Linked DNA regions of Drosophila melanogaster. The protein of the gene in region 1 interacts with the protein of each later gene in a pairwise test. Each region holds a gene or a part of one and is shown in the gene's direction. Other genes may lie near its edges. The genes, in order: Pepck2 and aqrs.

Region 1 (3,932 bases):
TAGTCCTTTCCACATTTCCGATTCGGTTTCCGGCAAAATGGTTATCACACAAATCCCCCAACGTCCCCTCCAACTTTCTCCTATTTCGGTAAGGCAAAGGCAAGTGCAACACTGATATCTGAAAACTGACAACTGAATCAAAACACATGGAATTTCGAAGTACTCAAAGTCAATGCAAAGAACGGACGACAGAACGTTGAAGACAATAAGACAAATATAGAAATATACTTATGATATGGCCCGTCGAGTTTAGAGAGATTTGTAGTCACCGACGTGGTAGATTTCCCCATAGCAGAGCAGGAATTTTTCCATTTATATCTTGTTTTTGGGAGACTTGTATCCATTTTGTACACCGCCAATCAAAAACAGTTCCAATCAAGGATCCGATTAGCCATCAGATTTATATGTACGTTTACACAATTTTAAAGTAAGAGGCCCCATACAGTTAGTTGCCCCTCCCCCACCTTATCAATTAACAAAGTCGAATCCTCGCAATGCAAACGCAACCGAAACCAAATACATAGTACCAAGCCTAATTGTATAGTTTACTTGTTTACGCCACTATATATACGAACATTAAATCTATATATACAGTACATAATAATCTATATACCTAGCTCTACTATAAATATTGTATATCAATTATTGTCGTAGTGCTAATGACCCGGACTCGTGTAAATTTGAATGTATTAAAAAAAAAACAGACACTGCAAGGTGAAGAATACTTATATGAAACATTATTATACCGTACGCAAGAAATTATTATTAATAAAGATATTTCATGATTAGTGCGTTAAGTTGAAGAAGAGCAAAAGGAGCTTATACTGTTCTTATTTCTGGTTTTGGGAGTTCCACTGTACCACAGCTGGCACGTTTAATCCCCGGCAGACGAATCTTCCGATTTTTATGGGTTTCTGAGAGAGGCGAATATTTTGTATTTGGTTTGCTGGCCACTGGTCAAAGCACCTTGGACCGAGAGCTAACAATTCCCGATTAGGCTTATCGCCCAGGGGAAAGTTTCGATTTGTTTTGTTTTGCTTTGGAACCATCTGATTCAAAAAGTCCGGCCCCTTGCCAAAATCAGACTTCGAAGGGCGTCGAAGAAGGAATTGCATTGTATGACCTTCAAAACTTGGTTTTTCGGTTAGTGGTTTTATTGGAAAGCAGCATCGTAAATTGTGCTGGTCTATAAGCTTGATAGACCTAGTAAAACGATATTACTCGTACCCAACTGGAAGCCGCACGATACGGCTAAAATGATAAGAAAAGTGCAGGGTAAGAGAAAATAATTTGCAAAGAGAACCAAAAATTACAAAATATAACATAATAATATTTCCAGTTGAATATTTGTTTCCTAAAATTGTTCATTATTCTTATATAATCTGTATATCATTTTACTTTTTAATGTGTATAGCGGTTGATCAGCGATGGAATAATCGCAGTTGGTGTGATAACAGCGCAGACATTGCAAAATAGGACCCGCCAGACCGGTGTGCTGCCAAAGGGTGGGCGTGTTTTCCGAGTTTCCCAGAGCTTTTCCCAATCACCTGCTGCATATGCAGTGGGCGGCACGTAGCACGAGCCCGAAATGCAACGGCCGCCGAGTGTGGGCTCTTATCTTATCAGAGCGAAAGCAAAACATATAGTCCATATGCTTCAGCGGCAAGAATCGAATCGAATCGGATCGGATGGGATGGGATCGTTCTCATATGAGAGCGAGGGAACGGAGCTGAGACCCAAGCAAAATGCTCGGTGGTCTGCGCACACATGTTACTTGAGCGCAGCGAGTGCCGCATAAAGTCAGTTTGGCTCGTTGTGCCAGAGCAGCAACAAGTGCTCCGCTATATCTCAATCTGAATTTGAATCCAAATCCGAAACATAATCTGTTGCCGCGGCTGTAGCTGAATACGAAGCGCAACAAGTGCGCCAGTGACATCCAGAAGCCAGTGCATTGCAGACGAGGCTGAGATAAATTTAAATTAGGTCCGCAATTTCATCAAATTAACAGCGGAACCCTGTGGCCCAACAAAGCGCAATAAATTAATTAAGACGGAGATAAAATTGCAACTGCATTAGCTGCCAAGAGTATTAGCGGGCGAAATTAGAAAGTGAAAGCCAACACGAACAGGTGACAGAATGCTGCTCAAAGGCGCACAGCTGCTGCGATGCGGGTAAGTCTAATGCGATTCGGATTCGGATACCGTCGGATTGGCGGGATTCCAGGATGGCGAAACCCCAAAGGGGATACTTTAACAGCTTGCAGTCGAGTGGTAAATCCATTAACTTGAGTGCTTAAAACAGGCTAATACCGTGTAGCCTATAGAAAATAAACAAGAAGATATTCCTATTATGAGCTGTTTCTTTCAACAGCTTATCAACTTTAGATATTTTGTTTACAATATTTGACAGTAATTAATCTAATCATTTTTAAGGCACTTCATAAACACAACACTTATCTAAGGGAAATGCTCACACCGCAAAACACCGAACCAATATACCCACCTTTTCTAAATAGAGGGGTATCCCAAATCGCCTAATAGCATTGAGTCGTCTACTTGGATTACACGCCCTAAGGTTAACCCAACTTAGTAGATGCTATTGCCTAGTAACTTACCTGCCTCAACTAAAATGTCATGCTAATAGTATTGAATCGTTCTTATCGCGTGGCGGGAAAATTCCACACTCTGCCAGTCGCAGAGCGTCCGTTACACTTTCATTCATGTAAACAAGTGGCAAAATCAACCCCAACAACACCACCGCCATCAATGTTAATGTCATCTATAAAGCTCCCAAGATCATTGCACTCGTCGCTATATATTCTTAATCTCTCAGTGCCTGTGGTCTGCATGGGTAAGAGATGCGCTCTCGGCAAAAGCTTATGTCTTATGCAAAGTACTATCATTTTGAAGCTAACATACATTGGTCGTCGCAATATTTTTGACGATGATGGAATTAGAATTAATCTTTTAAATACCATTTGTATTTATAAGTTTATATAAAGTGCCTAATTTCTTTAAGTGCATTGGAGCTTAAGCATAGTTCGTTAAATACATATTTCAGTTCCTCGGGGCACAGAAGCGTTTTTACTGCCTACTTTCAGGCGACAGGTGATTGACCAAAGCCACATAAGTTCTTTGTGGGCGCTCTTGTTTATGCAACACTTTTCTCCTTAAAAGATTTTTTCAATGAAAAGCTTGGCGATTGCCGCCGTTTCCTTTGTTTCGGTCTTTATCAGTGCTTCCCGTCTCCACCGCCACCCTCCCACCCACAGGCGGTTTATTATTTTTGCAGTTTTGTTTTGACTCATTTTCTCAGTGTGAGAGGGCTTGTGTTTGTGTGTGTGCGATCGCTGGCAAGTTGTCCAACTGGCTCTGCCTCTCTTTTGTGTATGTGTGACGCCATTAGGCGGGCAAAATAAAAACAAAGCGCTGCATGTATGGGTTTTTGAGGCCGCCTAGCAACAATGTCTCGAAGTTATCGCCGCCTGTTGACTGTTTTTACTTTTGGCTTCTGTTTTGATGGGGTGGCGTGTTTTTGTAGCCTCTTTTTGGCAATAAACCCACCCACTTACAGGCCAAGTGCAGCAAGTAACACTAAACTATAACATTTGCGTATGGGCCGGAGGTATCCGAGAGATACTTCTTTGTTCCATGGAACTGCCATTGATGATAACCTTTAGATACAGCGGCGTCGGTGAAGTGACAACACCAAATGAATAATATTATTGTTGACGACGCGAGCCACTGAATCTATTTTTCAGGCCGAGCCTCCGTTTGCGAATTTGCCATAGCAAATAGCATTATTTATGCACGCGAGGAATAAAAACAATTTCTTAAGGTAAAAGGTTAATACCGCTTATCAGTTGAAAGGCCCACGCGCCTTTCTGGAAGGCCCCATCGATCAGCGAATGCTTTGCTGAAAATATGAAGGAA
Region 2 (3,911 bases), on another chromosome or scaffold:
AACTCGTGGCCCAACCCACATTATGTCGTTCAAACTTTTGTTATTCGTAGTTTTTGCTGAAGCATCAAAAACTACTCTCAATTTGGTCGTAAGGCTTGAATCTCTAATCACTGCCTGGTGCGGTAAAAAATATTTGCCTTCATCACTCACTTCAATCATGTGTCCTAAATCCATGTATTCATTCATGAATTTAGTGTAGTCAACCTTAAGTTTTTCATTTCTTTTTAGTTTTTTCTCCAGATTCATGTAACGAGCTATCGCTTGTTTCTTTGAATCTCCTAAGGTGACATCCTCCTTGAATGGAATTGACACAATGTATCGCCCATCTGAATCTTTTTTTGTCGTTTTGATAAATTTATTTTCACAGATTTCAGACTCGATATCATCTTTTTCTTCTTCTTCCACTTCCCAGTAGCGATCTAACTCTTTTATTTCTATTGTTGTGGCTACAATGGTTTCTTTTCCTTTGGATTTTTTACATCCAGAAACTATCCACCCGAAATCAGTTTTTTGCCCAAGGAGACCGTCTATTTTTATAACTCCATTTTGCAGAATGTGAGTATATACGTCTGCTCCAATGATTAAATCAATGCGACCCGGTTTATTAAAATCGGGGTCGGCTAATTTAAAGTTCTTCCATTTTTTCTGATCAACATTAATCGTGTTGACTGGAAGTGCCTTCATAAGTTTTGGGAGAATAATTGCTTCAATTTCTAAATTTTTCGGAGAATTTCTTATCGAAATAACCGCTTTGTGCTTGGAGATGCACGTTCCTGTGGAAGATACTCCACTTATTTCAGTATGAGACCGAAATTTTTTCAATTTTAGAATCTGTGCAGACTCTTCTGAAATAATTGTGCTTTGAGAGCCACTATCAATCAATGCTCTTAATTGTTCAAAGCCTCCATACCTCGACTTTACTTGAATCAAGGCCGTGGCCAACAAGGCTTGACCTGTTGTTCTACACGTATTCACTTTTTCTGGATTATGACCTGCAAAGTGAAGTAACGTGTGGTGAGGTTTACGACAAGTCGAACAAAGCTGCTCGCTTATACATTTTTTACCAAACGGATGCCTCAGACATCTTAGGCAAATCCCATTTTTTCTTACCCAGTCAGACCGTTCTGCTGGATTCATTATTTTAAATTTATGGCATTGAATTAAATAATGCCCTGGTAGTTTGCAATATGCACAATTGTCACTATAATTTCTATTCTTGTTATTATTAATCATTTTCTTTACAGGTTTTACTTCCTGTGAGAATGATGATATAGAATTGAGCCTTTGCTCTAAAAAGTCCATGACATCAGAAAGTGCCTGTATTTCTTTTGTCTTTTTAACATGGCTTTCATATAAATTGAGTGATTCTTTATTGAATTTCCGAAGAATTATGTGAGCGAAAATTGCATCCACATCTTCTGGTAATTGTGCCTTTAATTTTATAATATAAATTGACTCGTTAATCGTGTCAATAAATGTCTTTATTTGCTTATTGGATTCTAAATTTAAATTTGGCATATCCATAAGCCTATTCATATGATCTGAGAATATGTTTCTTTTATTCTCATATCGCTGGTTCAAATCCGGCTCGAAGGACCAAATGTAAAGTCCCAAATGAGAAGACTTTACTCGTTGAGTTTTTGTAAGAAACTGATTTTATTTGGAAATATCTTCGGTTTAAATAGGTGACATGAGAATCGCATCTTAAAGTAAATGGCCTACGCAGAGGCCTACGTAAATAGTCCCCGCCTTATCGAGGTCCCACGCTCGGGCACATCTGCCTATCTTGAGCGGCGAGGACCTTATCTGTGGTCTCCCACTAAGGGACTATTTTAGGAGGCGGGGAACGATCTCAAGTGACTGACTCATGTAGTGTGCACTTAAATTACATGTTTTTGAGCAATGCACCCATGTCGCCTTAGATAACAAAATCCTAAATATAATTTATCGCTCTCGATTCATTTACATAAGATATGAACGGAGCCCAAAATTGTAAGTCTTTAAATATATTCGTGTTCATGTGTGAACACTGAGTGACTTAATTTTCTTTTACTCAAAGTGAAACTAATTAAGTTAGCTAACTAAATCTCGTTCGGCGTGCTGGAATCTGATTAAAGTGCCAGTTCCTTTTCGACATGCGACTCCTATTCACATGCATTTTGTCCATCCTTGGGATGGACTACAGTGCCTCCCTGTGGATAAAAAAGTACTCGGAGAACTACCACCGACCCACTTACTACAATCGAGCCCACAGAACCAAGGACCACGTGGATTACAATCGAGAAGCTCTCGAGGAACGGGACAAACCGAAGCCGGTGGAGGTCCAAAAGCGACTTCCTTTCGATGCTACGCGGGACTTGACATACTACGTAAACGTGTTGAACGAGGGATCCGTCATCTGTGCGGGGGCGCTAATCTCCCGCAGAATGGTCGTGACCTCGACGCACTGCTTCCAGCCGCGGAGATTCGATTTGATATACGAGTACACGGCCAAACATCTGTCCATATTGACTGGCGTGGAATTGGACGACAATCCGGAACCACATCAGGTGATCGGATTTTTCATGCCGGTTAATAAGAATGAACGCTTTACCAACTACGTGGCTCTGCTCGCCCTCTCTAACAAGCTCGACAGAGACAAATACCGATATATTCCCCTGCATCGTAAGAAGCCACAGGCGGGGGATGACGTAAAGATGGCCTACTATGGTCCACCCAAGTTCCAGATCAGACTGTACAACACGCGGGTTATGGACATAGATCGCTGCAAAATCCACTACGGCCTAAAGGAGGTATTCCATGTTTCCACCTTTGAGCCGGACTTTATCTGCGTACGAAACAAGCGACACTCGAAGAAGACCACATGCAGCACCCGGCCTGGTGATCCCTTACTGATTGACAACAAACTGGCGGCCATTAATATATATGGAGAGCACTGCGACGAGGATGACGACTCCACCAACATGGACATATACCTACCCATTAGGCCGGTCATACCCTTCATCCAGACGGCCACGGATGCCCTGAGGGCTTTCACTGGATCGGGTCCATACAATGAATCGTATCCAACTACATTGTCACCCCTGCTTGAGGCCATAGTGAAGAAGTCGCCCAATGTTTATGTTGGTGGTCCCCCAGAGGAATTAGCATTCGATGATCCTCTTAATGGAGGACCAGATCGGGAAGTCAAGAATTCCATTGAGAATCATGTTGAAAGCGTTCTCGATTATTATTAGTTTTATTCAAATTTTAATCAGTGTAAAAAAATATTATGTTATGGTTGCAATTAGTGTAAATGTCAAATTATAAGGCGTCACAAATTGATTTTGTAAGCACTATGGTCAAGTCAATAATAAGATATGCTTAGTACCAGAGACTTATTGAGTAACGATGCTGCGACCACTGTGCATTATTCAGATCCTTTTGCTCGCTTTCCTGGCGAACGAGTCGGAATCCTCGAACACTCATCTCCATCGCTATATGCTGGACACCTATAAGCCGCAGCACAATCGAAAAACCCAAATGAACTACAAACGACGCCGTACTGTAAGGAGCGATCACGAAATGGCTATCGATCCCAATAATCCAAATAATCCCAATAATCCAAATAATTCCGATAGTCCCGATAATCCCAATAATCTCAATAATCCAAATAATCCGAATAATGACACAGTACAGTATGGACATTCCAAGGAGCCTGTAGTTACCTTGACCAATTCGGACAAGAAGGTGCCGCTGCACGAGCTGATGGTGAGACTCTATCAGCAAAACAAATATATCTGCATGGGCACGGTGATATCCGAGATGCTAGTGATTACCACTAGCACTTGTTTTAATTTGGCCAGCAGTGAAGTGGTCACGATGAAGATGTACGATGACGAAGTCCTCGAAGGGAAAAGAGTCGCTCTCAA

The links.
Region 2: the proteins of Pepck2 (region 1) and aqrs interact in a two-hybrid assay, tested with the Drosophila melanogaster proteins (one large-scale study listed by BioGRID).

What each region holds. Positions count from the first base shown.
Region 1 is NT_033778.4:18,525,630-18,529,561, forward strand, and holds the start of Pepck2 (phosphoenolpyruvate carboxykinase 2), read left to right. Parts: upstream 1-1,800; 5' UTR 1,801-2,136; coding exon 2,137-2,171; intron 2,172-3,932.
Region 2 is NT_033777.3:28,756,459-28,760,369, reverse strand, and holds aqrs (aquarius), read left to right. Parts: upstream 1-2,135; coding exon 2,136-3,236; 3' UTR 3,237-3,371; downstream 3,372-3,911. Other genes in the region: CG9997 (uncharacterized protein), read left to right, coding at 3,391-3,911.